Linked DNA regions of Oreochromis niloticus. The protein of the gene in region 4 interacts with the protein of the main gene of each other region in a pairwise test. Links are inferred from orthologs where the notes say so. Each region holds a gene or a part of one and is shown on either strand. Other genes may lie near its edges. The genes, in order: mief1, hscb, rmdn2 and agtrap.

The links.
Region 1: the proteins of agtrap (region 4) and mief1 interact in binary tests that used the Homo sapiens proteins (3 or more experiments, as listed by UniProt). The two-hybrid records come from large-scale screens. The link is inferred for Oreochromis niloticus from reciprocal best matches to the Homo sapiens genes AGTRAP and MIEF1.
Region 2: the proteins of agtrap (region 4) and hscb interact in binary tests that used the Homo sapiens proteins (3 or more experiments, as listed by UniProt). The two-hybrid records come from large-scale screens. The link is inferred for Oreochromis niloticus from reciprocal best matches to the Homo sapiens genes AGTRAP and HSCB.
Region 3: the proteins of agtrap (region 4) and rmdn2 interact in binary tests that used the Homo sapiens proteins (3 or more experiments, as listed by UniProt). The two-hybrid records come from large-scale screens. The link is inferred for Oreochromis niloticus from reciprocal best matches to the Homo sapiens genes AGTRAP and RMDN2.

The regions. Positions count from the first base shown.
Region 1 is NC_031969.2:10,814,787-10,822,792, forward strand, and holds the start of mief1 (mitochondrial dynamics protein MID51), read left to right. Parts: upstream 1-4,984; 5' UTR 4,985-5,106; intron 5,107-5,130; exon of another isoform or gene 5,131-5,309; intron 5,310-5,580; 5' UTR 5,581-5,894; intron 5,895-6,064; 5' UTR 6,065-6,071; coding exon 6,072-6,218; intron 6,219-6,295; coding exon 6,296-6,476; intron 6,477-6,875; coding exon 6,876-7,147; intron 7,148-7,234; coding exon 7,235-8,006. Other genes in the region: uncharacterized protein LOC100705581, read left to right, coding at 1-2,637. UniProt on the Homo sapiens protein: Mitochondrial outer membrane protein which regulates mitochondrial fission/fusion dynamics.
Region 2 is NC_031977.2:29,298,704-29,306,394, forward strand, and holds the start of hscb (iron-sulfur cluster co-chaperone protein HscB), read left to right. Parts: upstream 1-4,631; 5' UTR 4,632-4,770; coding exon 4,771-5,138; intron 5,139-5,233; coding exon 5,234-5,330; intron 5,331-7,691. Other genes in the region: lrrc8ab (volume-regulated anion channel subunit LRRC8A), read right to left, coding at 1-635.
Region 3 is NC_031978.2:26,001,775-26,008,896, reverse strand, and holds the start of rmdn2 (regulator of microtubule dynamics protein 2), read left to right. Parts: upstream 1-3,899; 5' UTR 3,900-4,187; intron 4,188-5,985; exon of another isoform or gene 5,986-6,123; intron 6,124-6,211; exon of another isoform or gene 6,212-6,312; intron 6,313-7,122.
Region 4 is NC_031970.2:11,712,361-11,719,485, reverse strand, and holds the start of agtrap (type-1 angiotensin II receptor-associated protein), read left to right. Parts: upstream 1-3,883; 5' UTR 3,884-4,182; coding exon 4,183-4,209; intron 4,210-5,044; coding exon 5,045-5,079; intron 5,080-5,270; coding exon 5,271-5,379; intron 5,380-7,125. UniProt on the Homo sapiens protein: Appears to be a negative regulator of type-1 angiotensin II receptor-mediated signaling by regulating receptor internalization as well as mechanism of receptor desensitization such as phosphorylation.

The DNA.
Region 1 (8,006 bases), on a different chromosome or scaffold from region 4:
GTATTGAACAAAAATGGCAAAAATGAAATGGAAGCAACCATTGTGGATGGCAGTACAAAGAAGTCAGGATCTGTTGCCTGTGTGCAAAGTCTAAAGAACCCAATAAAAGCAGCCAGGTGTGTAATGGATGAAAGCTCACATGCACTGATTGTGGGAGACGGAGTTGAAGAGTTTCTTGAAGAGCTTGAGGAAAAGCAAAAGCTTGTTGGTCCTGAGTATTTCTATACTGATGTACGTCACAGAGAGTTAACTGCAAAACTCAGTAGTGGAAAAAACTCCAAAAACAATCATCCACAGACAGTTGGTGCTGTGGCCTTGGATCGCTGGAATGGATTGGCTGCTGCAACCTCTACAGGCGGGTTGGTAGGAAAGCTGAAAGGGCGAGTTGGGGACACAGCAGTAGTAGGAGCAGGTATATATGCTGATGACAAGTTAGCCATTACCTGCTCTGGAGATGGGGATGTTTTTTTGAGGAACACAGTTGCTCAGAAAATAGCAAGTCTATACCATCATAAAGCCCACAGCCTTAGGGAAGCATGCAGAGAAGTGATAGCTGAAGATCTGAAGGGGATCTGTGCTGGAATCATTGCTGTGGACGCCAAAGGTGATGCCGTCATTGAGACCAATGCTGGTGTGATCTTTGTGGCATCAATGATTTGTGGCATTTCACGAGTAGAGGTCCTCAGACCCCTGATAGATCCTCCTAATGTTATCTGGGAAACAGATGAGCTTGTTGCTTACCTGAATCCCAAACCCTGGATCCCTGGAGCAACAATTCTGACTAGAAAAACTCTTAGTGGGGCAAGCAGCATCTTCCACTTAGCTACAGCTGATTTTGTTGCTATGCTACAAGGAGCACGAGTTGTCTCAAACTTGCTATGTGAGCGACTGGGAGTGCAACGTTGTGCCTTGGTATTCAATCCAACTCCTGGTCAGCCAGCACAAATCAGACTCCTCCCTCTTCATGGCTTAGAGCCAAAATGGCAGCCCCATCTTGCTAGTGAAGAAGAGTTCCACGCTTATAATCCTGGCTATTGCACCTCAAAAAGTGGTCCACGTTGGGATGATGAAGCACTGGCTCGGGTTCAAGATAAGATTAGAAGTGCACTGCCAACACCAAATGTACCTTTTTGCTTTGATTTTTTGGGAGACCTATCCAATGACAACCTGTTCAGTCGCATTGTTCGAGGGGAGCAGCAACAGTGGAGAGTGTGGGAAGACACTGAGTATGTTGCCTTTTTGACACCTTATCCAAACAGTCCTGGTCTAACTGTTGTGGTGCCACGCAAACCTCTGTCCAGTGACATCTTCAAACTGAAGGAACCTGACTACACAGCACTGATCTTGGCCACTTACAAAGTTGCCCGACTGCTGGAAGAGGGGATGAAAGCTCCAAGTGTTGCACTGATCTTTGAGGGATTTGAGATCGACTATGCTCATGCCAAGTTGATCCCTCTGTTACCTTCACCAGATGGCACTAAACCTGCTGAGCTGCAAACAGAATGCTTCCAAAGCTACCCTGGATATGTTTCATCACTGAATGGCCCACCCGCTGACTCTGAAACCCTCAAAACCATCCACTTGAAAATTACCCAGTGCAAGCCTGCTCGTTCCTGGACAGATCCTGAGTCTCACTCCATGGCAGCCATCAAGAGCCAGTGGTATCGAAACCTTTTTAAGATCCAGAACACTCTTTTCCACAGCACAGTGGAATACTTCAACAGTTCCTGCCAGTACTCATATGCTCTGACACCTCTCACCACTGACACCATCTCCTCACCAATGGGCCTGGGTTCTGACTCAGAGCCAGTTTCTGTCAATCTGCTGGGCCAGGGTGTGTACCTTGCTGACTCAATGCAATTTGTACTGGAATACTTCCTTCGCTTCCAGGAAAACCTGCCAGGGACCTACTACATATCTCCCAGCTTCAGAGGGGAAGATCCTGATGCCACACACTTGAACCAGTTCTATCATGTGGAGTGTGAACTGCTGGGTGACATGGACAAAGCAATGTCCATAGCAGAGGGATACTTGGTTCATCTCACCAAGTCCATGTTGAAGAAACACTCAGATATAATCCTGAACACTGCTGGGACCCTTACACATGTCACAGCTCTGCTCAGTAAGCTGGAGGGAAAAACCGGACTTTCAAGAGTACCTCTAGACCAGGCCATCCCCATGATGCCCTCTGCTGACTGTTTAGAGTGGGTCCAAGATGGTCAGCCCAATTTTGGCAGAAAGTTAACACGTAAAGGAGAGCGGGTTTTAATCGAGAAATATGGTGGAGCTGTCTGGCTGACCGAGATGGACCATCTGGGAGTTCCATTCTACCAAGCATATGTGGAGGGCACTGGGCAACGCAAAGCCAAAGCTGCCGACCTTTTGCTGGGGCTGGGTGAGACTGTAGGTCTTGGTGAACGCCATTCAACTCCTGAGATGGTGCAAGAGGCTCTGAGGCATCATGGAGTGTCAGAGCAATCTTATAAATGGTACATTAACATGCGCCAAGTGAAACCACTCCTCACCAGTGGATGGGGTATGGGGACTGAGCGCTACTTGTGTTGGTTGCTCCAGCATGATGATATCAGGGATATACATATCATCCCCAGGATGAAAGGGGTTAAGTACATGCCTTGAGTATGGGTTTTCCACATTTTTCAAGCCATTGAAATTGACTTGAAAAAATGGCTACAATGCATGTGGATTTGTACCATGAAAATGTTTCAGTCAGTCCTAGATTACTAGAATTTTCCTCCTATGTCTTGGACAGAAGAAATCTCTTAGAGCCCTTAGTGCAACCTGGTCATTGATACTCTGCAAAATTTTTACAACTCCAGCAGAAGCTGTAAAAAAAATGTATTTAAATGTAGAGTGGTAAGATCACAGCATTAATGTGTGTGGAAATGCATGAACCGTTAATAGACTATGAATTATGTATACATGTTCTTGTAATGAGACTGATTCTCACTGTTGACAAAATCATTATCTACTGGGTTTAAATTGTAGTAAGTAAATACATTTTAATTGAGTGATAAATTGACCACTTTACATAAATGTTGTAAACAATTTTAAGTGTCACTTCTTTATATTTTTTCCATGATGTCATTTTTTTTGTTTGTTGTTGTTGTTGTTTCTATTGCATTACCTTTGTATGTAAATGTTTTTGCTGAGGTCAAATGGATCGTGACTCACTGATGTTTCAAGTCAATAGTATCGATATTCAAAAGAACTATTGGATCCAAAATAAATCTCAGTGACAGATTTGTATGGATTACTGATGTATCCAGTGGACCCTTTTCATAAGAGATTTACATTCTTTGTGAGACTAAGAGATATATGTTTTCTGGCCATTGGAGTTTATCAGAATCAAAATCAGAATACTTTAATAATCCCTAAGGAAATTATGTTTAAGATAATTTATTGATATATATCAAGTGTTTAAAATGATAACAGCGTCAACTGCCTCAGTGTCATTTGGCCAAGTTGGTTGGATTCACCGGTACTGCAAATAGTCTCACATTGCTGGGAGCTATTTGATTTATTGTTGATTTAATAAATGTTTGTTGATGCAACTAAAAAGATGATCACTTTGATGTTCTTATAAAGTCTTACATACACATACATATTATATTATATATATACTGTTCTCCACAATAGAGAAAAATTACAGAAAGTTCTTTCTTGATTGCATTAAAATTGAGTGTATCAGTTTTCATCTTTTAATATTAATTAAATATTTATTTATTTGTCAATTTTAATCCATCCTTCCAATGAAATGTATTAGAATTATAAGTGACACTTGGACAACAAATGATGCTACATGCATTCACAATTTTAACATGAAACAGCAACCAATCCTCCAGACACAATTCCAGAATCAGCAGTTTAGTGTGAAAGAAAGAAAACTATGAAAGAAAAAGTATATCTTCAGCTTAGATCTTTGAAAAACAGTCACAGCTGATGTTTGTCCAGGGTCTCTTTGGAGGGTCATTCCAGAGTTTTTGTGCAACAATTGCAAATGCATCGGCTCCTTTTGCAATTAGCTTTAACTGCGGGATGCATATCCACCACATTTGCAGGTGCGAGACCATTTAAGACTTGAAACACAAACAGTGCCAATTTATACTCGATTCTGTAATGTACAAAAAGCCTCCCAACATGATGTGAGCTCTCTTTTATTGTCCCAGTCAGTAATGTGACGGTAGCATTTTGGATAAGAAATGATTGAATAGCTCCAGTATACAGTGCATTACAGTACCCGTGTTTAGATACAACAGACATATATATAACCCTTTTCCAAATCAAGTTTAAGAAAAAGTGTTTTGTCTGGAGATTGCTATTACCACAGCAAATTAGTGAAAACACAAAATTGAAAAACATCAACCTTTTGAACTTCAGTTCAGATCTCAGTACTATACAGGTATCAGCCATAACTTTATTTCAATATAGATTCATAGTAACAACCAAATAAATAAATAAATAAATGTTGTGTCTTGACCTTACTCTATAAAGTAGCGGTCCCCAACCTTTTTTGCGCCACGGACCGGTTTATGCCCGACAATATTTTCATGGACCGGCCTTTAAGGTGTTGCGGATAAATACAACAAAAGAAAACTAGTACCGGTACCGAAAAAAAGAAGATTTATTCATAACACATGAAAAGACCCAGGAAAACCGAGTTAACGATAAAAACGATAACAAAATAACGCTGAAAACCGATAAAAACACTGAAAATCATACATTTCACACCTGAGCCTCAACTCTCGCGGCCCTGTACCAAACGACTCACGGACCGGTACCGGTCCGAGGCCCGGGGTTGGGGACCGCTGCTATAAAGCACCTGTTGTTGTGATTTGGTGCTATTTGAATAAAATAAAATTTAATTGAAATTAAGGCACAATTTCTTAAAAATGTAATTTGACATACAATGTCATCAATACAAAATAAAAGCGTAAAAAAAAAAAACACGAAAAACTGACCCGGATATAGTGTGTGAATAGCAGACTATTTGTTTCCGGTTTCCACTATCGACTCTGACCCCCGGTTAGAGCAGAGGTCTGCTTCCCCCAGAAGACAAACGATCTTTGGTCCTTTTTTTCCTGAAAAGTAGGTGCCTTCGATTTGTTTTGTTGTGCGTCTTTGTGTGGCTCGTTTAGCCTCGCTCGCAACGTTTCAACGACCATATTTTGTCCATAAAGCTGGCTGAAAGTAAGGTCAGCGCTTGCTTCGGCAGCTAGTTAGCGTGTTGTGCTACAAAGAGATGTGACTTTCCGTTGATCCAGCCATTTTCTAAAGACTAGTGAGCCTCGGTATGTAACACGGCAACACTTTCTTTTCGCTGATGAAACAGTCCCATAACCTGTGCTAGAAAACGGGCAGACTGCGAGCTTTTGTGTTTACTTGGTCAGGTTTACACGGAGGCTAACGTGGCAGTCTGAGCTGACACTGCAGCTGTGTTTTTTGCAGCGTGTGGCATGTTTGGTTTTACACTTTAAAGGTTGGATTTTTACACGGATGAAGCCATTTCTAACTGTCACGTCAGTCCTCTAATCATCTACCTTGTGCTCACCCTTTGCACAGGAGCAAGGGTATCCCCCTCCTCTCCATGTGTGATCCCTGATGGGCAGCTGGTCTCGCAGTGCCGTGCTGGAGCTCTACAGGGCGCTGCTCCGGGCAGGCCGACACCTTCAGTACACAGACCGGAATTACTACCGCCGCGCCGTGGCTCGCGAGTTTCGCCGCTGCCAGGCACTGACGGTCCCAGAAGATAAGGAGGAGGCCCTGAAAAGGGGCCGGTTCTTTCTCAGCAGCCGACTGGGTGGGCTTATGTAGGAGGAAGGGGATCAGGGGCCATCAGGTGGTGGTTAAAGGTTGTCCGAAGGTCCATCTTCCAGGTGGGTTTACACGTAAAACATCAGGAGTAAACAGACATTCTTTGTAATGGTTTAGTTTGTAGGTAGTGATGTAAACAAGATCACATGGTGATGAGCTATCCACTTATTTCTCGGCTCTTCCCACCCTAGGCAGCCTGACTCCACTTCTCTTTTTATTATTTTTTTCCCAGTGCCAGGATGGCGGGGGTGAACGGAGACCGAAAAGGAAAGAAGGATGATAATGGGATTGGAACAGCTATTGACTTCATGCTTTCGAATGCCAAGCTTGTGCTGGGGGTGGGAGGGGCAGCCATGCTTGGCATTGCAACACTAGCCGTCAAAAGAGTGAGTACTCTCACTGTGGGGTGGGGTGGGGTGGGGGGGAACTAACTGAATACCAATACAATGAATGTTATGTGCAGATGTATGATCGTGCCATAAGTGCTCCCACCAGCCCCACAAAGATGGAGCAAACAGGAAAGAGAAGCTGGGAGGAGCCTGCCTGGATGGGGTCATCCCCGAGGGTTTTAAACCATGACATGAAGTCCACAGTTAGCAGGTCGCTGCAGTCTCTGCCCACTTCTTCACATGCTTTTGAACCAGGTGAGGGGAAACAAATTGTCCTTTAATTTATAACTTATATATGAGGTAGACTAACGGCCAGCTCTCATCTTTTTTTATTTTATTTTTTTTCATCTGCTAACAGACAGCCTGTTTGGAGGATTCTTGCTCTTCCTTTACAGTGGGTGCTGGCTCGTTTAAGTTTAGATACCCAGCTGTTTTATACTGATCTTTAATCATAACGTTATAGAAACTGTAGAAGGCCGTGAAGTTAGTCTTTGTAGATTTAGCTCTGTCATATTCAAATATTTAGAGAACAATACTGTGAAACTCCCATCCTATTACACCCATCGCTTCCCCCTGAAACCGCAGAAGAGGAAAGCTCACAAAATCCTGCTGCACTTATTAAAACAGTTCATCTCTAACTTATTTTCTCCCCAGACTGTCTGCGAAGGGCTGTGGGTCGAGCTGCTGTGGGGAAGAGCGGTGCCACTCGGTCAGATATGATGCGGGCCCGGATGCGTCTGTCTTTGCAAGAACACCTGTGGGAATTCTACCAAAATAATGTCAACATCCCTGCTGAGGAGCAGGCCATGGCCAGGAGGGCAGCGCTAGACATCTGTGCTGAGCTCAGAGTGTTTCTTCATGCCAAACTGCCTGACATGCCGCTCAGAGAGATGTACCTCAGTGGCAGTCTGTACGATGACCTTCAGGTAAGAGCACTTATTATGGGGGATTATTTTTTTCATAATGACACATTCATTTAATTGGAAACCATTCTCCCCTGTTCTGCCTCCAAGGTTGTAACAGCCGACCACGCCCAGCTCATGGTGCCTCTTGTCTTGGAGAAGAATCTGTGGTCGTCCATCCCCGGAGAGGACACGATCATGAATGTCCCAGGTTTCTGGCTTGTCCGTAGGGAGAATTTGGAATATTTCCCTCGGAGTAGCAGCTATTGGGACCGATGCATGGTCGGAGGTTATCTCTCCCCGAAATCAGTGCTTGAGGTCTTTGAGAAGCTTGTTGCAGGTTCTATTAACTGGCCAGCTATAGGGAGTGTCCTCGACTACATCATCCGTCCCGTGGTTCCCGCCGAAACGCTGACTCTGGAGGTACAGTACGAGACGGACAGGAAGCTGTATGTGGACTTCTTGCCTTTGCTCGTGATGGAGGATGGAACCTCACTGATTGCCAAACCGCACCGGTTTGCTGCAGAGCGCCACGAAAACCTGTGGCGACAGAGCTTCCGCGTGGCCGAGACGGCCCGGCTCAGGGCGCTAGATCAGGAGGATGGCGGCTGCCGATGCACCTGCCTCAAAGTGGCGAAGGCTGTGTGCAAGCTCAACCCTGCCCTTCACAGGCTCAACTCCAGCCAGCTCACTAATACCATCCTGTTGCTCAGCGAAAAAGAAGGTGACTGGACCCAGGAAGCGCTGGCCGACCGCTTCCTTCAGCTGCTACGAGCGCTAGTGGGGCACTTGGAGGCTGGGAAGCTGCCGTGTGCCCTTAGCCCTAAAGTGAACTTGTTTTGTGAGCTGACTGATCAAGAAGTGGATGAGCTAGGGTATACCC
Region 2 (7,691 bases), on a different chromosome or scaffold from region 4:
CCTGTTTCCGTTCTATCTACAATGCCCTGCTCAAAGCGTGATTTTGTCCTTTGAAGCATAGGAACACTTGCTTCAACATCCTCACTTATTACAGATTCCTTGTGGTCCATCGAGCCATTCATTTTCATTGGTTTTGGGTCACTTTCCTCAACCACTGTCTCTGATAGTGCCCTTGTTGTCCACGGAGAATCGAAGCATTTTAGCAAGATAGATACAAAGTGTTCTAGTTTGGAGCTAGTCCGTGGAAACTTAAACCAAAAGTTGCTGCAAGCTAGAAAAATAAGGGTGTGGAGTAATACTAGGTAGGGGAAATACTTGGCAAACCAGTGCAATGTATTTTCATAGCAGACAGCATCAACATAATTGTACTGGTGGCGGTCCAAATCATACTGGATCCCTTTGGGCACTGATGATGTGATGCTTGAATTGAAGTTCTTCTTGCAGGTTTCATTGACCACCCATTTGCAGGGCAAGCAGATCATCTTGTCCTGGGTGACCTGCAGTGTTCCCCCAAAAACAGAAATCATGAGCATGACAATAGAGATATAGTCGGTGAAGACATCCCACCAAGGTTTCAGGATGCGGTATGCTGGCTGTGTGTCCACAAAGTACCGCAGCTCGGTGATGGGGATCATGGTTTATCTGTGGGAACGTAGAGAATGTAGACAGTGATGTATTGAATTAAAGACCCCTGTCAAACATCAGAACAATACAGAAATGTCTGTTTACAAATTAAACACTCCTTCCCTGTAGTGCTTAAGCAACCTTTGCCTAAACGACGACAAAAAACCTAGCAGAAAAATCAATACTATAATTCTAACTAACAAGGGCACACATCAGAACGCTGACCATGGTTAATTTGAAGGCTGTCAGGAGTAATGAATAGCGATTGTGACAAAGACTTTGGTGTTTAACTTTACTTGGTGGACTACCATGTTATTGATTTACCTATTGTTAAGCAGGCTCAATTAATCTTGCTTTCAAAGGACTGTCATACCAGACAAGTCATTTCAAATGTTAGGGCCAAATGGCAATCAATAAAATATAAATTAAATTTATCTGCATCTTAAGTTACTCCTACAAGATTAAGGTGAAGTATTAATGGGCTGCCTATGTTAAGAAAAAAAAATACAGGCAAAGAAACAGCTGCCTTCAATATGTATGCAAGGTGTAAACGTGATAAATGACTAAGTTAGGCAGGCAGTAATTTCACACTTGTTAATCGTGAGAGGTTGTATTATTACTGTTCGTCAGCAGTAATAATACATAAATTCCACTTCTCTATTCTGATGCCAATTATAACACAAAATCTGAGTACCAAAACTAAAACAGGCACAACAGCAGCCACCTCAAGGCAATTTACATTGTAAGATAAAGACCCTACAATAATACAGTGATCAGACAACATGAGATTCATCCATCTGTTTAACATGGGGTTTTCGGCCTCTACAAGTAATGTAGCCAATTAATGAAGCAGGGTTTTCAATGCATATTAAAAGATTTTGGCACTCAAGTTCAGAAACATTTTAATTTAATTGTATGTGGAATGTAATTTACGAAGCATGAGTAAGTCACAAAATGACTTATTTTAGGGGAAAACAGTATTGCTAAAGGAAAACACACTGAATACAAGTTGCCCACTCACTCATGCTTTTTACATTAGATAAAAAGTGCTGTATGGATGTGCATGTGCTTGAGTGAATGAGACTTGTTGAAAGAAAGCATTCTGAGTGTTCAAATTGAGTAGAAAAGCACCATATAAGTTCCAGTTCATTTATCATTTAAGTGTGTAACCAACCTCAAAATGTGAATTTTGAACAGTTACCCACAGATTTAAATTGTTCTTATGGTGGGGTGGCCATGAATACGTTCACTGAACAAAGCACATACACATGTTAATGTAATAACCATTGCTAAATAATTAAACAGAAACTCGACTTTCATTACTCATTCGTTTTTACATCACAACTGTGGTGATATAACAGATAGTGGAGTTGCTCATAATCCAGCATGTGAGACAATTTCAAATTGGATGGAAGATACACGCAGACAGCCTTACTAAGCTGCTGTGGATACAGTCACCAAAATTAAAAATGAATTCACTTTGTTACATATTTACTCGCTGAAGAAAGGAATTCCTTACACTGCTCATTATATAACTTTTGCATTATTAACAAGGTGGTATGACATAATGTACACTGTCACATTACCATGAGTTAACAACATAAACCTTATGCTACAGTCCCACAAAATGCCACAAACCCATACTCTAACAAGGGCACACTCAAGATGTTTCTTTTAGTATGTAGGTATTAACACAAAGGTGACAGTAAAGATAATTAAGCCAGCCCAAATAGGATCCAAAGAGAAAAATGCTGTAGCCAAAGCAATGCTACTTTGGAGGCTATAGCGTTATAAGCCCGACTGCTAATTACTCCTTTAACATCGTTAAAGGAGTAACTTGCGAGCATCTGAAAATGCCAAAACAGGTAATCCAACACTTTTTATTAAATCCTTTGAATTATCATTTAACATCGTTCTGATTTCTTTGCTATTAGCTTTGTATTGGTTGTACTAATACTAATACCAATATTTGGTGATTCAAAAAAATCCGATCCAATTCCAATATACTGTCTGATATAATTTTTCCTTCAGAAAGAAGAAACATGAATAGATTAGTCAAACTCCAATAAAAAGTAATATCTCCTCAAAAATTTTAGATCACACAAAGTGAAGTCAGCTGATTAACACAAAATCAATTCATCATCCAAATATAACTGACAAACTTATGAAACACAAGTAATGACATACCAGACATGATTACTCAAACATGTATGTCTGAGTAAATACATACATGTATGTATTCATTTATTTATTCATTTGCAATTTGTACAAAAATGCATTGCAGGAAAATTTTGTCCCAATACTAGGATATATCACCTTCCTTATGATGAATGTTTGAGTAAACAGACACAAAAACATACAGAGACTCTTTCCTTTAGTAGGTAGGTAATGCATTGTCTGGGGGATATTGCTGGACAAGCCAAAACTATTATTTTTAAATTGAAAAAAAAGTCACATAATACATAGCTTATGTAAAATGATAGGTTAACAATGTCCTATTAGGTATGAAAATTTGTTTTACTTACAAATTCCAATTGTAAAGCACAAGTCCTCCATACATAAACAGCCAAGAGCAATCCACAACTAATCTCCCTTACCTCTGCTGTACATCAGAGCCAGATAAAGCCCTCTAAATTGCCACACCCAGCATGAAAGCTCGAGAAGTCACTCTTCTTAAGAAGATGTTCCGTTTTGGCTTGTTTAACCCAAACAACGTGACCGCCAGAGGAGCCACCTTGCTCCCCTGCTCTCTATTCTTAGCGGTTTCCGTTAATAATACCCAGAGTATTGTCTGTGGGGGCCTTGAGAAGTACCTCCCTCGACCTTCAGGAAGAGATCCTGTTTACCTTATAGAAGCTGCTGTCTCCAACAAGTGTCTCTCTGGAATACTCTACAGTCAGCTTTTGCACCCTCCCAAAAACACACACACACACACACACACACACACACACACACACACACACACCAAGAATGAAGACCTGGCATTCATCACAGAGCTTGTACTTTGGTAGGAAACTGTAATGACAAATAGTCGAGACGCCTAGTCTGATTCTTGGCCAAATAAGCATATTTACACTGGCCAGTGTTCAGAGAATTTTTTTTCTTCACACAGCTAGCAGCTGTTGTATTGCGACCGCCTGTATGGATGGACGATGAAGCAGCAACAAGTACTCTTGGACGATGAAGCAGCAACAAGTACTCTTAGTCAATAAAATACTCACAAGTTTGGAGGTGTTATCTGTGCTCCAGTGCCTGATGATGTCCTTGGCGGACTAGCCACTCACTGAGTATCCAGAACTCTTCATGAAGCATTGCCTCTTTTGTCAGAATGCAGTTGAATCTGAAAGAAAAAAACAAAACAACCCAATTGGTATGAAAATGCAGTTTTCTAGACTTTCTGAAAAAGGCAATTAAAGTTACGCAAGCGTGCATTAAGTGATGTTTTAAGCTGATGCTTCTTAAATGGGTGATTATTTAAAATAATAATAAAAATAAGCTAGTTTGAATTTGTTTTTGTCACCGCTCAACCATAACATGGGATGCCTTTGTCATCCAGCTAGCTGAGCAAGCTACTCAACATAAAGTTAAACCCGGGTGCTTTTTTTCTTCACATGTGCCCTTAAATAACATGAAACGCTGTTTTTAAGGCCGTGAACTGGAATCTGACAACAACCAGCTTATTTGTCAGTACCGACCACGAATAAAGGCTTTTTGTTGTTAAGACATGTTCGCAAACTAAGCTATACTGTTCAGCTAGTGAGCTAAGCTAGCTACATGCAGACCAGGGGTTCTTGTTATCGTTACATCCTCGGCAAAAGCCGCACCTAAAACGACACTAGTACACTACTAACAAACACTGAACATTTTGTGAGGTGTTCAGCTTACTTCAATTGGTGTGCTGCGTCCAAAACTAAGGCTACTTTATCAATAGTTCCTCACAAATTGCGTTTGCTGTTGCCAGCTAGCTGTTGGTTTTCCATCAAGAACTCGAAACCCACCGAGCGGCGGCAGTGTGACAGTGTTACAAAACGTAGAAGAAGAACGCTCTTCTTCGTTTGTTTTTCCGGAAAGAGATGTGTTTTGACAGTGAACATTTTGTGTATTTATTGAGTGCACGACAGCGAGTAGTGCATTTTAATTCCAGAAATGTTGTCTGTCAACTCTTTGAGGATTGTTGGCTCATCCCGGGCTGTACTGCACCCAAGCTGGCTAACCACCAACCGATTGCTTGTTTCTAAAGCTGTTACATGTACAGCTTACAGTATGTCTACCAGCCTCCACAGGAGGGGCACATGGCACAGCAACATGAACTTCAGAGCACTCAGAAAGGAGAGAGAGCTGTTTTACTTCACTAATCAATCCGCTTCACCCAGGAATTGCTGCACAAGTCAAATTAAATTGAACTGCTGGAACTGTAAGCATCTTCTTGACAAAAGACCTGCATTTTTCTGCGTGTCATGCAAAGCAGTGCAGCCCCCTGTAGAAGGGACATCCTACTTCAAGATCATGGATTGGTGAGTTTCTTGTTTACCTTAACATATGTCACCATCTTAAAAAGCTTTCCAAATGAATCCAGTCTATTCATTTTATCATGTGTTACCTTTTTCAGTGACTACACATTCACACTGGACACACAAAAGCTGCAGAAAACATACTTGCAGCTCCAGCGGTCTCTTCATCCAGACAACTTCAGCCAGAAATCTATGGTAGGGAGGGGGAATGTAAGGGGAATAGAGATCTGCTGAGTGAGATGGTCTATGAGTCAGAGAACACTTTCCTTTCTATTAGTTGCCCTGTGACACAGGAAATTGGGTCTGACCCCTTGTCCCCATTTGTCCACTTGTGTGTGCATTTTTGTTTTGTCATGATAATTCATTGTGACTTGGCCATGGGAGTAACTCTGGGCAAAGTAAGAAAGATGGGCTTGTTAAAAGACACTGACAAATGTAGGGCCTGGTTAGGGAACTTGGTTTGTGTTAAGCTACCAAGCAAGCTCAAGGCATAGGAAGCAAGTTTAAGGAATTGAAACTAAATAGCAGTGTAGATGAACAAGCATTTGCTTCTCAGGGAAAAATACAAAAGGGGTATAAAAAGGGGGCCGGGGGGGGGTAGTGTATAAATGGACAGTCTAGTAATATAAACAGCTTTACATGTTGAATTGCATCAGTGTATGTGAAGAGATTCATGGCTGCTTATTTCAGCTATGAAAACCAGGAGGCAACTCCAGTAAGCCAACATGAGTTTATGTTATTTATGTTGATAATTACACTTGTGCCTTTCCTGCTGTGAAATGTAAAAGTGCCTACTAGGACCTGCTTTCCAAAACATTTTACATTATAACTGCAAAATCTAAAATAATAAAAACAGAGGTATATTAAATATATTAAATATTTATACAGGTTAAGAAAGCAAAAGTTAACTTTGGTTTAGAAGTTTTCATTCAATTACTCATCTTGCCTTATGCATGGACACTTTCTAACTCCCACCAGGATAAAAGGTTTGATCACAAGCTGCTAAATTGTGACTTAGGAGTTTATTTGGATAGATTAGGAAAAGTAAGTAGCTGAGATTGTTCCCCTGAAAATAATAAAGTGAAAAAAGGGGGTAAGATCTTGTGACTATTAAGATGTTTTATATGCTGAGTATTTTCTTAATTAGTCAAATAAATTTGGACGGTTTGGCTTAATAAGATCACTGAAACAATTATTTAATTGTGAAAACAGTCCTGATTGTGTTTGTGTATATTGACCCATTATATGGGGCGATCGTGGCTCAAGAGTTGGGAGTTCGCCTTGTAATCAGAAGGTTGCCGGTTCGACCCCCGGCTTGGACAGTCTCGGTCGTTGTGTCTTTGGGCAAGACACTTCACCCGTTGCCTACTGGTGGTGGTCAGAGGGCCCGGTGGCGCCAGTGTCCGGCAGCCTTGCCTCTGTCAGTGCGCCCCAGGGTGGCTGTGGCTACGATGTAGCTTGCCATCACCAGTGTGTGAATGGGTGGATGACTGGATGTGTAAAGTGCCTTGGGGTCCTTAGGGACTAGTAAAGCGCTATACATTTACCATATAAACTCTAATTACACTAAGGAAGTTCCATCGGTATTCAGTCAATGTCAGTCTTTTTAATTTGGCCTCTGTGCACCACCAAGGTAGATTTTAGATGTTTAAAACTGTTAAAATGACACCTTTCAACTTTCAACTTTGATTCAATGGGTTTAATACAAAGTATTGCATTACCTGCTTTGGCATTTTCAGATGCTCATAAGTAATTGGACAGTTGATTGACAATCACAGTCATGGTGAGGGTGAGGTTGATTCCTTGTGTATTTTATGAAACTTTAAGTAGATATAATATCTGACATTCATTCAAAGTTTTGAACTAATATCTAGTAGATTTTCACTGGAGTTCTTAATATGATGTCAGATTGCTGCAAGTAAATAGGGTCACCATAATACTCAAAAAAGAAAATGAAAAATTAGAAAAGCACTGGCCAGCTGAACAACACCAAAAGCCTTGATGGACCATGGAAGGCAACTATAGTAGATGGTAGATCTCTTTACTTGGTAAGAAAACCGCTTTTGTTATATCTAGCAATATCATTGTCAAAGTCTACAATCAAGAGATGCCCTCATGAATGGGTTTACAACAAGATGCAAAACACTGGTTACACTCAAGAACAAGGAAGTCATAATAGGAAGAGAAATGGCTCGTCATCTGCCAAACATGGTAGACGCAGTGTTACTGGAAGGAACATAATATGCCCCACAAGTGTTTACTGATCAAGCATCTAACAGATAACAGATAAACATAGTGCAAATGCAACCCAAGAACTTCTCAAGGCAAAAGAATGGGAGATTCTTCAATGGCCAAGTGAGTCACCTGATCTCAACATAGAAGAGCATGCTTTTCATTAAATGAAGATAAAATGGAAGGGAGAGACGTACAAACAAGCAGGAAGTGAGTAGTTAAGACTAGCAGAGGGTCTCAATGGGAGAAACAGCATTTGGTGATGTCCATGTTTTTTGGACTTCAGGCAGTCATCAGAAGAGAATTTTTGTCCACGTATTAAAA
Region 3 (7,122 bases), on a different chromosome or scaffold from region 4:
TGTGTCTCAGTCAGCAGACTAGTGATGAAACTTAGTTTGTTCTATTAAAATAAAGACTTGCTGAGGATGCTGAGGATGAGCAATGTGTCCTCATTGCATTGCATCAAATATCCAGTCCTGACAGTGCTCCTCATCCACAGCTCGTCCATCTGGTGCATCTCAACACTAATTCTTTAGGCGCCACCTTCTGGCCACATCTTGCCTACATATAAAAAAGAGAAAAAAAAGCACTTTCACTTTCATTTTACTACTGAATTTTAGCTTACTACATACATGCAGAGTAATTTCAATGAGATAAATAATTAACATCATATTTTTCCCCTTTACAGCACAGGATGACCTTTATACATAAATTTAAAATACTGACAGCTGAAATGTTGTTGATAGAGTGCATTAATCTCTCAGAAGATAAGTGTCATGACCTTGTGTGTTTACATAGTAAATGGAGAGGACAGGGAGGTTTGATCAAAGTTCAAGGACAGCTATGTGCTGGTGTTGTATTTGGCTGCGCTGTTAGGCAATCATGTAGTCTTACCAAGTACTCCATGTTTTGAGTAGATAAACATTTTTATTGTTGTGGACAAAAATCTCAAGAGAAATCTGGCCCACAAATTTGCGAGTGATGTGTATCTCCTTCTGGAGGAATGCTCAGTGTCCGATTGCATGACTGATTGTCACTTCAGGGGAGGATACAAGGAAGGAAGAAATCATTAAACTACGCAATCAAAAGTCACAGAGAGGTCTCTCGATGCAATCGGCCTGTCTTAGGTTTTCCTAGAATTCATAACTTGTTAACCCCAAAATCCCTCTTAAAGCTGCAGTTGGTTGAATTTTAAAACAATCAGATTAGAGGCCATTGGACCAAATAAATGGCCAGGATGGAAATCCGTGCAACGCAAGCTAATTCACTTCATAACCAATATGAAACACTGCAAAACGTACATGAATTAGAAAATTAGTGTAGTTAATAAAACAACTGTAACACGTTTACCTTTTGGTCTCATATTGATGATTTATATAGTCTTTAAGCAACAATCTGACACATTATGGAGTGGTGAGTGCTATCGAAAGTGACTTCGCTTAATATAAGACATGCACAGCACAGACAAGTCAGGTAAGTAAAGACAGTGCCCTAACCTCTTAACGCCTAGTGTGTCATATTTGATACATACAGGTTTGTTTCAGTTGTTTAGATGTCTACATCAGTAGTGTGATTTTTTTCCCCCCTGAAAAAGCTGAATAAAGTGCATTTTAAGCAATTAAAACACAAGCCGCCAGATGTAGCAAATAAATTACAAATTAAAAGTCATGTATGTAAATTAAAAATTTAAACAATTTTGTCAGATGGCTCAATAAATTTTTAATTTTCAAAAAAACTAGAATTTTCTGGCAATTATTTCATATTTCAAGCTTTAACAGGCTAATCCTCTAACAGGGTCACCATTAACAAACTTGACCTGGGTGGATCTCACTTCTGAACCTGGAAGAGGATGCAAATATATTCTGGCTTCAGTAGAATATGTTTACAGTTTTGGGTTTGGTAATTACAATCGTTTTTGTTTCAGAACATAGAGTGTATTTATTTCTGTTTGCCACATCATGGTGCAGTGACCGTCAGAGAAGGGAACAGGATTTTGATTAGACGAGGAAGATGATGATGTTTCCTGTTGAACCTACGTTTCTACCAAGAAATATTTTTAGGGAAGAAAATAACAGGAAACAGCTGAAATACTCATTTTGTCTGAAGATAATTGAATATACAATGAATTAACATTTTTAAAACTGTGTTTCTGTTGACTCTTGAGACTAAACACTGCTGCAGTCCTTTAATCTCCTCCAAGACTTTTAGTTAAAAAGAGCAGGTCATTTATCACTAACACAAAAAATTACTTCTAGTTACTTATTTTTGCTATCTTTTTGTTATTATTATCATTTTTATTTTCTTTTTACATTTGCTTTATTACAAGGTTTTGTGCTTGTCATGTCTTGTGTGGCAGTTTTACATATTTTATCAGCTTATGAGGGATCCAATCAAACAATAAAAGAAAAAAACAGACTGGGGATTTTATGTTAATGTGCATACCACATCGACATAAAACTGCTGGGGTTATGGTTAACCTGCCATACAGAAAAAAAGAGAGCATAAAAAAAATTAATGCAAGAAGAGATGATTAATTTGAAAATGATGAGGAGACAGAAGTTCAAGGCCACTTAATGTTCACTTAATCTCTATTACAGTCTATACTTTGACTGCATTCAGTTAGAAAAATAGTTATTACTTGCGCATACTTTTACAGCTCAAGCCAAAATGATGTAGGAAACGGACACTGATTCATTTGGCAATGGGAAAAGGGAAGACAGCTCGCCATGCAAACATGCAGGAATGCTATTCATGCTGCTGATTAATGCCGCAGTTGGAAGCCACTATTGCAGACTGAATACTTTTAAACTGGGATCACTTCTTGGAAAAATATTCATAAGCATTAGGTCATAGTATGTTTCATCCACAGATGAAGCCTGAAAAACTAATTTGGGTTAACCCAGTTAACCTGCCGGACACCGTAGCATAAGCCCCCGCACAAGCAGGACCGTGACTTACAGACTTGTCTCTCAGCAGGATGAATTTCAGTTTAACTGCGATGCAACTACAGATCACTTAGAGGCAAACAGAGTTATCTCATCAGAGAAGATTTTTCAGTAAAAACTGCTGTGAGGGGACCTCTCATAGGTTTGTGTTGATTTTTGTTGGTCTTCTAACCTTGGGGGATGCACACATTAATTCAGTACAGCTGAGACTCTTGGCAGACCTGAGGATAAGAACACTGAGTGCTTGCAGCTGAGATAGTCATCAGGTAGTGCGAGTGCAGACCTATGAGTTAGACTTCCCCAGCTCCTCACGAACGCGATGTTGTGCATTCTGTTACACAACAGTAGCCACATCTTCATGGCTGAATGAGTCTTTAAACTATCTGTTAACACGGCACGCAACTGATACAGAAGTTTTTCCTCCCACTGAGGTAGGCATGTCATGCACATGAACACTCCTACTACAAGACCGACAGGGAACAATGAGGCTTCACACTCTGGTTTGTGTGTGCAGTTCTGATAGTGATGCCTTATTTCAGCAGGATTCTTCTCCCACATATTGTTTGACAGCTGTAATGGGCTTCTGTCTGTGCACAAAAGCAATTCTGGGGCTGTGCGATATGAACGTTTTGGCAGATGCGTGCTGAGTGGATAAAACAAAATTGTTGACAATATCTGCTCATCTCCAAGCTTTGACCCGACGGGAGCAAGGCCATAGCTGGGTGCGCCTCTCTTATCGCCATATCTTCATCTGTGGGGCCAACCCAGAGCTGCAGGCCAAGCTTTGTTTTTTTTTCTTCTCCTTTTTGCACCACCATGCCTCTGGGTTTCAGGTGGGCTTTTTGTTCCCTGTGGTAACTGAATGCAGGCTGTGGGCTAAGGAACAATACAGCGTTCAGAGAGCAAGGAAGAAACTGCACGTAGCGATTCCCACGGCATATTATGCAAGGGAACTCCTCATTACCCCTGTTTTCGAGAAAGTGTGCTTACCTCCCTCTCTATAGGGTAAAGGAAACATCCATTTAGAGATCTCATGTTCATCTTCCAAATCAAATAAACACAGTCATCTTAGAAAGAAGTCATTTATGTAACTCAGCCACTCGTAAGGTCATCAAGGACATTGTGGTTGTTGGTTGTTTTTTTTCCCTCCCCTGAATGAAATGTTTTTCAAACCATTAATCATGAACTTGTCTTTATGTGCAGATTTAAAAAAGCATGAAGGAAGAAGAAGATCATCTAACAGTAATGTAAATAAACAGAAAAGGATGATTAAAAAAAATAGAAAACTCAATGATTTTTGGCCTTTGCCATTTTTAAAGTCACCTTTTTGGGGATTTATATTGGACATGATATATGTTGATAACTAGATAACTAGGGAAACTCTATCAGATAAAGCTTGATATGCTTGAAGATCATTTTTTTAATGCTTTAGTGCTTCTCTGTTTAATCAGACCCTGTAAGGACAGTTCCATGATTGCAGAGTGCAGGTCCAAGGTTTATGCAGTGATAATACATGTGCTTAGCAGCTTTTTAAATCCTGGAGGACATTCTGCTCAGGCTCACTGCAGAGAGACACTTGTGTGAGTGAAGCATACACAGCGGTGAGTCATTGTTTGCGCTTATTATTTCAGAATAATTGCTACTAGTTTTACATAAAAGGATTTTTAAAAACTAGTTAGATGACAAAGTTTGCTTTGCACTTTCGTTAGAGACATAAGAAGAAAGATATGTACGGTAAAACATGGATATGAGACTGGAAACAGTCGACCTGAGATGCAAATTGTAAAGAACATAACATTTTGAAGCAGTTATTATCTGTGTTTTCTAAATGCAGTTCTGGTACATTTGCTATTGTAGTGGACCTTGATCACTTGGTGCCTGATTATTAACTCGCATGTTGACGCCAAGTTGAGAAAAAATTTAAGCAAGGAATGTTTAAAAACTGAAAAATAAATTGACAGATGCAACAAGTAAAATTAAAAAAAGGTGATTGCAGTGCAAACATTGGAGTGCAACAAGAAGAAAAAAAATCTGAATGGCATATAAGGATGTTGTTTGTGCGTTATCCATTTCATATCAAAGCTCACTTTATCAACATGAAGGACATGTTTCACAGAGATAGTTGGAAGATAGGAAAAGCCATGTTCTTTGATTTGTTTTGTTCTGTTAGAGTGCAGGCCTGTACTGCCACATAGGGCATATGTGAGCACATATTCAGCTGAATATACAGCAATGTGCAAAAATCTTTAGTCAACCCTATTTTCTTTATACTTTATTGGGAAATTGTATGTAAGTCAGCACAGCCTGTTATGCAATCTTTCTGTTCATTTGTTATTCTTCAGAAATAGTTTTCCAGGATTCTTGAAAGATGTCAAAGCTCTTCTTTACGTGTTTGCTGCCTTTTGTTCTGTACTCAGCCAATCCATGGTTGATAGTGTTCCATTATGTGAAAACTTTGAAAGCCCTTTAGAAAATCTGGAGAGCCTTCAAAACAATATAGTCTGTCTCTTGGGAAGAAAAATAAAAAATAAGACAGGGCTAGATCAATGCTTTTGCACACTAGACAGTAAGCAGTATTAGAACTGTTAAAATTTGAGCTGGAGCCTGAGAAGTCTCTTCCATCAAAGTCACAGTGTGCTCTATGCATGTAAGCACAGTGTAGCACAGATAAGCATATTTGACAGCCAACAGGGTTTTAGCTGCATCAGTGGAGTAACTGAAATAGTCCACCCATATTCTGCCTGGTGAAATAGAAGCAGTGGCTCCTACACCCTTGCTTCTCCCAAATGAACATACTCAAAAGAAATCAGTAACTAACAAAATAAAGTTTCCTGTGCACTGAGGGTAGAGGGTAGAGAGGATTGTTTTTATGAATGGCTTAAATACAGACAGGCAAGCAGATCTAATGTAAATTTGGAGTTTTCTTTCTACTAGACATGTCATTAGTGGGCCTGTGATGGATTAGTGACCTGTGCAGGGTGTATCTTGCTTATCACCCTATGACAGCTAGGCCATGAGAGCCTTCTGTCCCCTCAGAATAAGAGGTTAAGAAAATGGATGGATCAATAAATAAATAAATGAATTAATAATTTAAGAAATGTCTCATTGAAATTTAAAATGGGATTTTCAAGAGAAATCTTGTGGCAGCAGAAATATCTTAACAACTATACATTAAATATCTGAAGTGGCCAAAAAGGACTGGATACATTATAATATAGAACACAGATAAGGCAGAATAGCGCAGAGTGACAAAGATCATTGCAAAACGGGCTTTCTTTATTATTATTTTTTATTTTATATATATATATATATATATATATATATATGTAACCCATTCGTAAACCCGTCGACAGCATTCCATTTACCAGTATAACCAAATATATTAGACATAAGTACACAGAACCATCAGCAATCACTTTTTTTGGGCACATAACCGGAACTCTTCCTTTCGGCGCCTGAGCCAGCACGGAATGTTTTTGCTGTCGCACCAGACAGCTGTCAAGCCGACAAGTGCCTCCTTCCTTACCTTACAGTAAGGTGTATATTAATGTCACCTTTCATTACTTTTACATACATTTTGTTTATGTAAGACCTCGAGATGATTCTCTGTTACTGAAAGCGATCAGTTTATGTTTTTGTATCTGTGTGACGTTAGCGTGTTGCTCTGTTTTTAACGTTGGAACATCGTTTGGTAACTGGCGACTAGCAGCATAACTTCATTAAATTGTAAGCTAATTAACACTGATAGCTTCTTAGTGAAGCTGTGGTATCTCATAGGGTACTGCTAAGGAAAACCGTGATAGCTTTTACATTTCTCAATGTGCTCAGGCTGTAGTAGCTGCTGTTTGACTGCTGGCTGACACGCTCCCTTGAAGATTATGTGTTGATCCAATTATCTGAGGCTAGCCACTACTAGCATATGTCTTTGTAAACACTTGCTGACTAATGTCAGAAATTTTCAGTGCTGGCACAGTCTCGTTTTATGTGTTTTATATCGAGTGTTTCGTTAATCAAAAAGAATTCAAAAGCTGAAGCTGGTCGGAGGTGAAATGTGAATTTAAATGCCATGATCATTTGTCTTAAAGAAGCAAAGTCTAGCCTATTATCCAAACAGGAGAGTGTTGTTTCCCGTATGGCTAAACTCTCGCTGTTGTGTCCTTGCTTCACTTTAAGTACACCCTGTGCAGGCAAATCTTTCTGCAAGAAGTAAGTACATATTGAAATCAGTGTTGACAATGCTCCTTTCAGACACTGATCATTCATGCAAGTCATGGGACACATGTGAGTGAAAGGGCTTTTTTTTTCTCTGTTAGCATGGTGGAAAAAAATAATATCATGGAAAATTTTCAATATTTTCCATCATTTTTATTTAAGGATGTGGAAATCAAATATATTTTAAACCCATTACATTGAAGCTATAGTATTTCAAGCACTTTAAAAGCTCAAAAAATGTAGCAAATTTATCACAACATATTAAACTCATTTTGAGTTTGAGGATATGCCTGTTCAAACAGTATAAATACATCTCTGAGTTTA
Region 4 (7,125 bases):
CTTAAGTGTTTCTGGCATCAAAGTCAAATTAAGCATATGTTTGGCTTCGTTTTTGTTTGTTTTTTGTTTTTTTTAAATCCCCCTTCTCCTATTTATATTTTAAACTTTCTTGGAAACAGGGTTGCTCAGAATATGTAATTAATCCCCTTCCACCACTGGGCCAGAAGTTAGTTAACTAGTCCCTTTCTTTCATTATCTTATATCAGAGTTTTAAGGAAAAAAGATAAAATCTTTATGAAGATGAAGACTAAATGGCTCTCTTTGATCGATACACTTTGTAATGTAAGCCTGTTTCAAAGAGAGCATTTTCCTTAATATGGAGATTTTTGAGGGACGAAAGAAGCACCATCTATCTTCATGTAATAAGATAATCTGCCAGCTACACTTAAGTCTCAGAATGCTTTAACACAAAGCTTACGACACATTAGAGCAAGTGCAAGAAATTACATTCAGTTCAAATTACACAAAGCCTCTGCAAATCTATCCATATCAATATTTCATTAGATGAAGAAAGTAACACAGATTTTTCTTTCCTAAGCACCATCTCAGTTGAACTACGATCGTGCTATCCTGATTTACAGGCACAAAATAAAAGCAACAGTCATGTATTTTTTATATTTACCTATGTCAGAGTGCTCTGGTAGAGTGCCCTGTTGAAACCTCGCCAACAGCCAGAGAAAAGATAGATTACACACAGCCACATCCCAGTAGGGCTGCAGCTACAACAAATGCATGTTTACCTTTCTTGAATTAATTAACCCCCACAGTGTCTATTTTAAGGGAACTTTTCCAAATCAGGTTACTTCTTAGAGCACATAGATGAGCAAGAAATGAAAAGAAGTCACATGGGGCTAGTCCGAAATCTGCCTCCACTTGTCAAAACATCAAAGAAATTATTTGTGCTCAGTTCAAATATTAGTTTTTTTGTGAGTGCTGAATCTGTCTGGACAAAGTTGTGATGTTAAACTACAAAGTGTAACATTTGTGTGTTTATCCCACTGCAGTCTCATTTTCACACACATGTATACACGAGCACATTCAGGACAGCACGTTAAGGCTGCTACATTTAATTATGGAGGCTTTTAAAGAATTAATCTTTCAGTCAAAGAGAAAAATTCATTTGTGTGTTGCCACAGGGGTCAGAGGTCACATGTGGGGTCAGAGGTCACATGTGGGGTCAGGGTTAATGCTGGATAGTGCAGAGACCATATGCCAACACTGGGCCATGAATCTCGCTTCAGTGAAAAGGGCACAGAAGTGCCAAAGACTGAGTCAGACTGCAGAACAGAAATCACAGAGAGTGAATCTCATATTAACATTTTAAAAGTTCGGCAGCTGCTCTCATCCACAGTGACTTACAGCGAGCTCAAAGGTTAAATGTGCTAAAGTCCAGGGACATAATGTCACACAGGCATCGGTGAGGAAGGCAAATGGCAGTCACGTAAGGAACGAGTGATACATACTTCATGATTCTGGTCATTTAGAATAGTAAGACCCATAGGGCAAGGAGCTCTCACCCTTTGAAATAATATAATAATCAGACAAGCACAGTTTTGAATGATTTCTACAGCTTTCAGCAGCACCTCCATCCACTGATTCTCTTCCGTCATGGCGGGTGGAGCCTATCACAGCTGGCAGAGGGCAAGAGGCAGGGTAAACCCTTGACAGGTTGCCAGCCTGTCACAGCATCTGCACCTCCTGGCTTTCATCCACTGGAGCTGTACGTTTGGCAGTGTGATGACAGACGAGACTGCTTATACATATTTTATATGCTGTAAGTGTTTCTGTGGTGATATATGATTATGGCTATTACATATGTTTTTGTTAAAAACTATACTTATGGACTGAAAGACAAGAAAAACGTTTTCCACACCAGCTGTGTAAGGTAATATAGGAATGCACCTGCAAGATCTTTTGACCGGACTGTGATTTAATTGGACTTCACCAAACGTCTTCAGGAATCTGGGATCCATAAATCCATACCAAATTTCCATGTGTTCTCCCTCCAGTTGTTGAACTAAATAAAGTTTTAGCCTACTTTGAAATCTGATTTAGCAATAAGAAAATCCTTGTGAATTGAGTCCACATGTTGTATTCATTAAGACTCAATTATCATCAGAAAAGTGTTTACTAAGAACTCAGTGACGTAGCTATAGGTTGTTTTTTTTGGGGGGGGGGATATATTGTACCAGTATCTATTTAAACAACAGGCATCACCATCTGCTGCAAGTAGCAACTAATGCTCAAAGTACTCCTTCAGTCACAACTTCCTTTAAAAGTCATTTTCACACTACTGTCTGTTAGTGCTCCTTTGATGTTATCAAACACAAAAGTTTTATGACAGTCTAATGGTCTTGTGGATACTGGATGATTTAATAATGCATGAAAACGTCTGCAAGAGTGTATGCTGATATGTTGATGTGCTGCCTGACAGTGTTTCATTAGAAGTAGCAAACAATAATAAACACATCTATCAGCATATACGTGACTACCAAACTCCTTTTTTTAATAAGCAGTGTCATTGTGGTATTCTGTTTCATGAGCTGTAAACACACAGGCTTCCTCAAAATGTGCATCGATTACGTCACAGCTGGTCCAACCTACAATAAAGCTTAATGCTGCTTGACATTAGCGTTGTTGATGTTCTGTTGAAACTGCTTTGAATACAAGTGACTGAAATAAACTTATTGAGTTCCTCTTTGGAGAGGCTGCTGGTTCACTCTCTCTGGCTGTTTCTGATATTAAGGCCCATCCATTTCATGCTGTTTAGTCGTGCTGAGTAAACTTAATAGTGTGTCACATCTGACAATGGCTCTCTGTCTTTAGCAACCGCTGATAGCTAAACCATTTTTAACTTGTTAGCTGTCCTCCATTGACCTTTGTTCTCCAAGCATTTCTTTTATATTTTTCCTTTTTCTATCCTTACCTGGGTAAAGACATGATTCGGGATGTGGATTAGCAGTTACTAAAATACAATAAATTAGCTGTGCTGTGAATGCATCTGCAAGAGTGGGTGGACTAAGCCACTTTGCCTCATTTGTAAGGGATGAAAGAGGCATCAGAGAGCTTCACTATTTGGAGCCCAGGGTGCTTGGGTAGTCAACCTCTATCACCACACTTTATATTTAGTTGACAGAATAATAATAACTCTTAAATAAAATTTTACTCGTTTAATTTTTTTAATATTAATCTTGTATTTTTTTCTGTCAGCAGTGAAAACTTCACAGATTTTTTTTAAATATTAATATACTTTTAGATAGGCCACTTAGGAAAACTGAACAGGGGTGTGATGCGAATCTGAGTACAGTTATATCCTCCCGAGAATGTGTAATAGAATAGTTTTTGGTCCATATCTTTTGACTTATTTGAGCTACTCTACTAAGATGTAATAAAGAAAATTCTGGACTTTCAATTGAAATCTCGTGTGTTTGGGTGGCCTCTTTTTACGGAGCCCCGCAGGGGACATGGGAGAAAAAGAAATTACGATGAACTTTTGCGAGATCTCCCGAGTTTGTTTTGCGAGATCTCGCAAAAGTCCGTCTTAATTTTTTTTTCTCCCATGTCCCCTGCGGGGCTCCGTACTCTTTTAGCCCCAAAGAGGCAGGAACTCACAAAGAAAAGTTCTTTTTTCAAGGTTCTCTGGAATATGTGGAAGTCTGCTGTATTGAAACTACAAAGTCCAGAAAACGGACTACAGAATGCCCATCTTACCTCACCCTAATAGGTTTTACCATGCTGTTTACCATGCGGGGAATATAAACTAAAAACACGAGTGAAATGTCATTTCAATATATAGAGAGAATATATACAGTTATTATTAAATTATTAAATTCAAGTTCTGCTTAAGGAAGTGATCCAAGAAGCACGGAAGCGGCTGACTGCCGCACACATATTTCCGGGTCTCTTCAGTTAGTTAGTAACCTTCCTAAGCAAATTTGCCAATTGGACCGCACCCCAGGGGCTGGGGGAAGGGGTGAGAGGGTGAGAGGGGCAGGAGTCACATGGGAACGAGTCAGGTTGCTGTCACATGGCTTGTGTTTGCAAGGCTGAGCCGACGGGAGGAGGGGTTTGGACAGAAGTTTGTGTAAGAAGAGAAACTGCGGTACTTTTTCATGTAGCTCTTTAACAAGTTGAAACGCCGAATCGGATCAAGGAGGAGCTGCTTTGTCCAAACAGACAATTATGGAAATCCCTGCCATAAATCTAAAGGTGAGGTTTACTTGCTGCGTTTCTGATTGCCTCGGCTTGTACGCTCAAACAAACGCTGGTTTTCAATGAAATGTCAGCTCTGTTCCTCAGTGGTAATTCCTCTGTGTGGCAACTACCTTCCTCTGCTTGTGACTCAGATCACAGTAAACTGCTGCTCTACTTTTTGCTATTAAGTAAGAAGTGTTTAAGGTAATGTTCAGGGGATAAGGTCCCTGAAGGACATTTTTGAGTGAGTGGCAGCAGGCCTTTTGACAGAGGTCAATATTTAAACATATAAACATTTATTTTCACTAACGCTGTATTTTGGCAAACACTTTAAAAACTCATATGCAGTGAATTTGGAGGGAATATTAAATTATAAACTGATGCCTTTGATTAACTGTGAAACTGAACAGGGACAAAAGTGTCATTGTGCTCTGTCCACAGAATAAAATGGTTCAAATGTAATTTTGGACAGCTCTTTCAAGGATTATAAAACCTGTGATGTCAAAAGTAGGCTTGAAGGACACTAACACTAACTAATATCCTGTTTTGTGTAATATCGTGTATTTTTTTATATTCGTGCAGTGTATTCAAAACGGCAGAAAAGATTCAGTCATTCATTCATTTTTTCCAAATCAATTAATTTTACTTTGTTTCACAGAATTGAAGAAAATCATATGTATAAAAAAAATGCAGTTTGGCAGGGCTGAAAACAATGACTTCAGTCTTCTTAGAGGGCTAAATAAAAAGAAGAAATCATTGCTATAGATTAGCTGATGATCTGAAGCTTTTAACTGGTGTGTGAGTGATAGATAGTTCAGTGTAAACACATTTTTGTCCTTCTCTATTCCAGGCCATCGTACTGGTGCACTGGCTTCTTACAGTCTGGTGAGTATGAGCACAGGCTTTTTTTCCACAAACCTGAGGAATTTCTCTCCTCTTTTGGCACACAGACACATGCTTATACTCCTGATTCAGGTCAACTCTTTCACCTACATGTCTCGTCCTCTGTGAAACTGCACGTAACTCTCCTGGAGTGTGTAAGAATCTGTCTCGTATGAATTGTGTGTTTCCTTCAGGGGGAGTATGGTGTGGCCGCCAGTGGCCTTCACATTGGCGAACCTTAGTGTTTTAGCAGTTGGAGTGTGGGCGATTGCACAGAGGGACTCAGTAGATGCAGTGATCATGGTGAGTCTGCCTTCACTTTTTCATGCGATCTTATGGCATCATGTGACACATAAAGTAGTCCAACTTTAGGCGCAGTGCTGCATATCTGTGCTAACCTATTTGTCTGTGGAATCTAGGGCATTCTGTGAGCATCCCTTTAAAAAATAGCCTTCCCTTAATTCAGCACACAGTACAGTAGCTGAGGACCTCAGACGGTTTACATTTGCTTAAGGAGCCATTTTATTTTAAATGTTTGACCCAAGTTTCAGAATTGCTTATACACTAACCAGTTTTATGTTAACCCTCATCATACCGTAACTCTGAACCCGTGACTGATGTTTCCATTGTACATTAGTGACATCAGCTGACTAAGGGGGAAAAAAACAAAAAAAAACGTGTGACTTGAGAATTGTTTTTTGATTGTGTTCTGAAGCAAGAACAGCTTTTATCAGATAGGAAAAGATGGGTGCAGTTGGCTGTTCTCGACTGTTAGAGAAAACTATTTAGTACCTCATCCTGACTGTGGGTCAGCAAAAGAACTGAGCCCTTCTCATAGACTGTAGAAAACGGCCACAATGGGTTGTGGTTTTTAAAGGCTTTAGTTTTGGATTGAGTTTCACTTTCTGGCCTTGGCTGTGTTCATTTTTTTTTTCTATCTTAAGTCAGATCTGACCAAATTAACATGAGCAGGCAGTGAGGAGGCGTTGCCAGCTATTGCTAGCTAGTTTGGTTAGCAAGGTGCATCCATAAAGCGTAATATTAAATGGGATGCTTATTCTGACTTGCAACAAAACAGGCTTAAAATTAACATTTTCTTAACGGAGATAGTCGATAGCATATTGCTCAAGTGTGTTTTTGTATGACTGAACACTAAGCAACACCAGATGTCAGAAAGTTTCCAGCTGCCAGCTTATGCATTTCTGCTGTAACGTTGGACATTTTAGCATGGGAACTGAGTGGCCTGTGAAGCCAACCTCAGGGGCTGCAGCTTTTGGTGCTTCAGCTTCAGCTCTGATTTCATTTTTCAGCCCCAGAACATTTTAGTTGTGTGTTCACTGCATAAATACATTTATGCTGATGCATAATATTTAACTTAAAGTCCACCTTTGAAGGCTTCAGGCTTTGGGTGTTTACAATGAAGGGATGAATCTTGAGCAAAAACTAGCTTTTCAGTTTGTTATTCTTTGACAATTTTGACAGTAATGGTTTTGGTTTGACAGTTTGACAGTACTGGACTCTGTCACTGTACTGAACCTGTGGGAATTATAGACCCTGGGATGTAACCACAGGGGAGCCTTTTACCTTGTGTACATTAAAGTCCAATGTCATATTCACTCATGTCCAAGACCTATCAAGAAGACTGGTGCACAAGTAATTGATAAGGAGGATTCCTTAGCACTGAGTGGTATTTTAACTTAGATCAAACACTCAGCCAATCAACTGCAGGTAATATAGTCCATTGTATAGCTTTTCCAGTATGGTGAAGTCCTGGCAGCATTTTTCTCAGGTGCCTTAAGTAAATTCACTTGTATTAGTTTAAAAACTTTAAAATATGTTTAACTCACATTTAATTCTTTCTTTTATTGGAGAGTTATTTTTATCTTACAATATGGATACTAACCGTCCCAAATTATAAGTCAAAATTTTGGCTTTTTCTCTTTTTGTAATGGCTTGCCTGAAAAATCTTTTCCCAATACATGTATAGTATAATAGTGTTTCCCAACCTTTTGGAGCCACAGCACATATTTCACATTAGAAGAATCACAC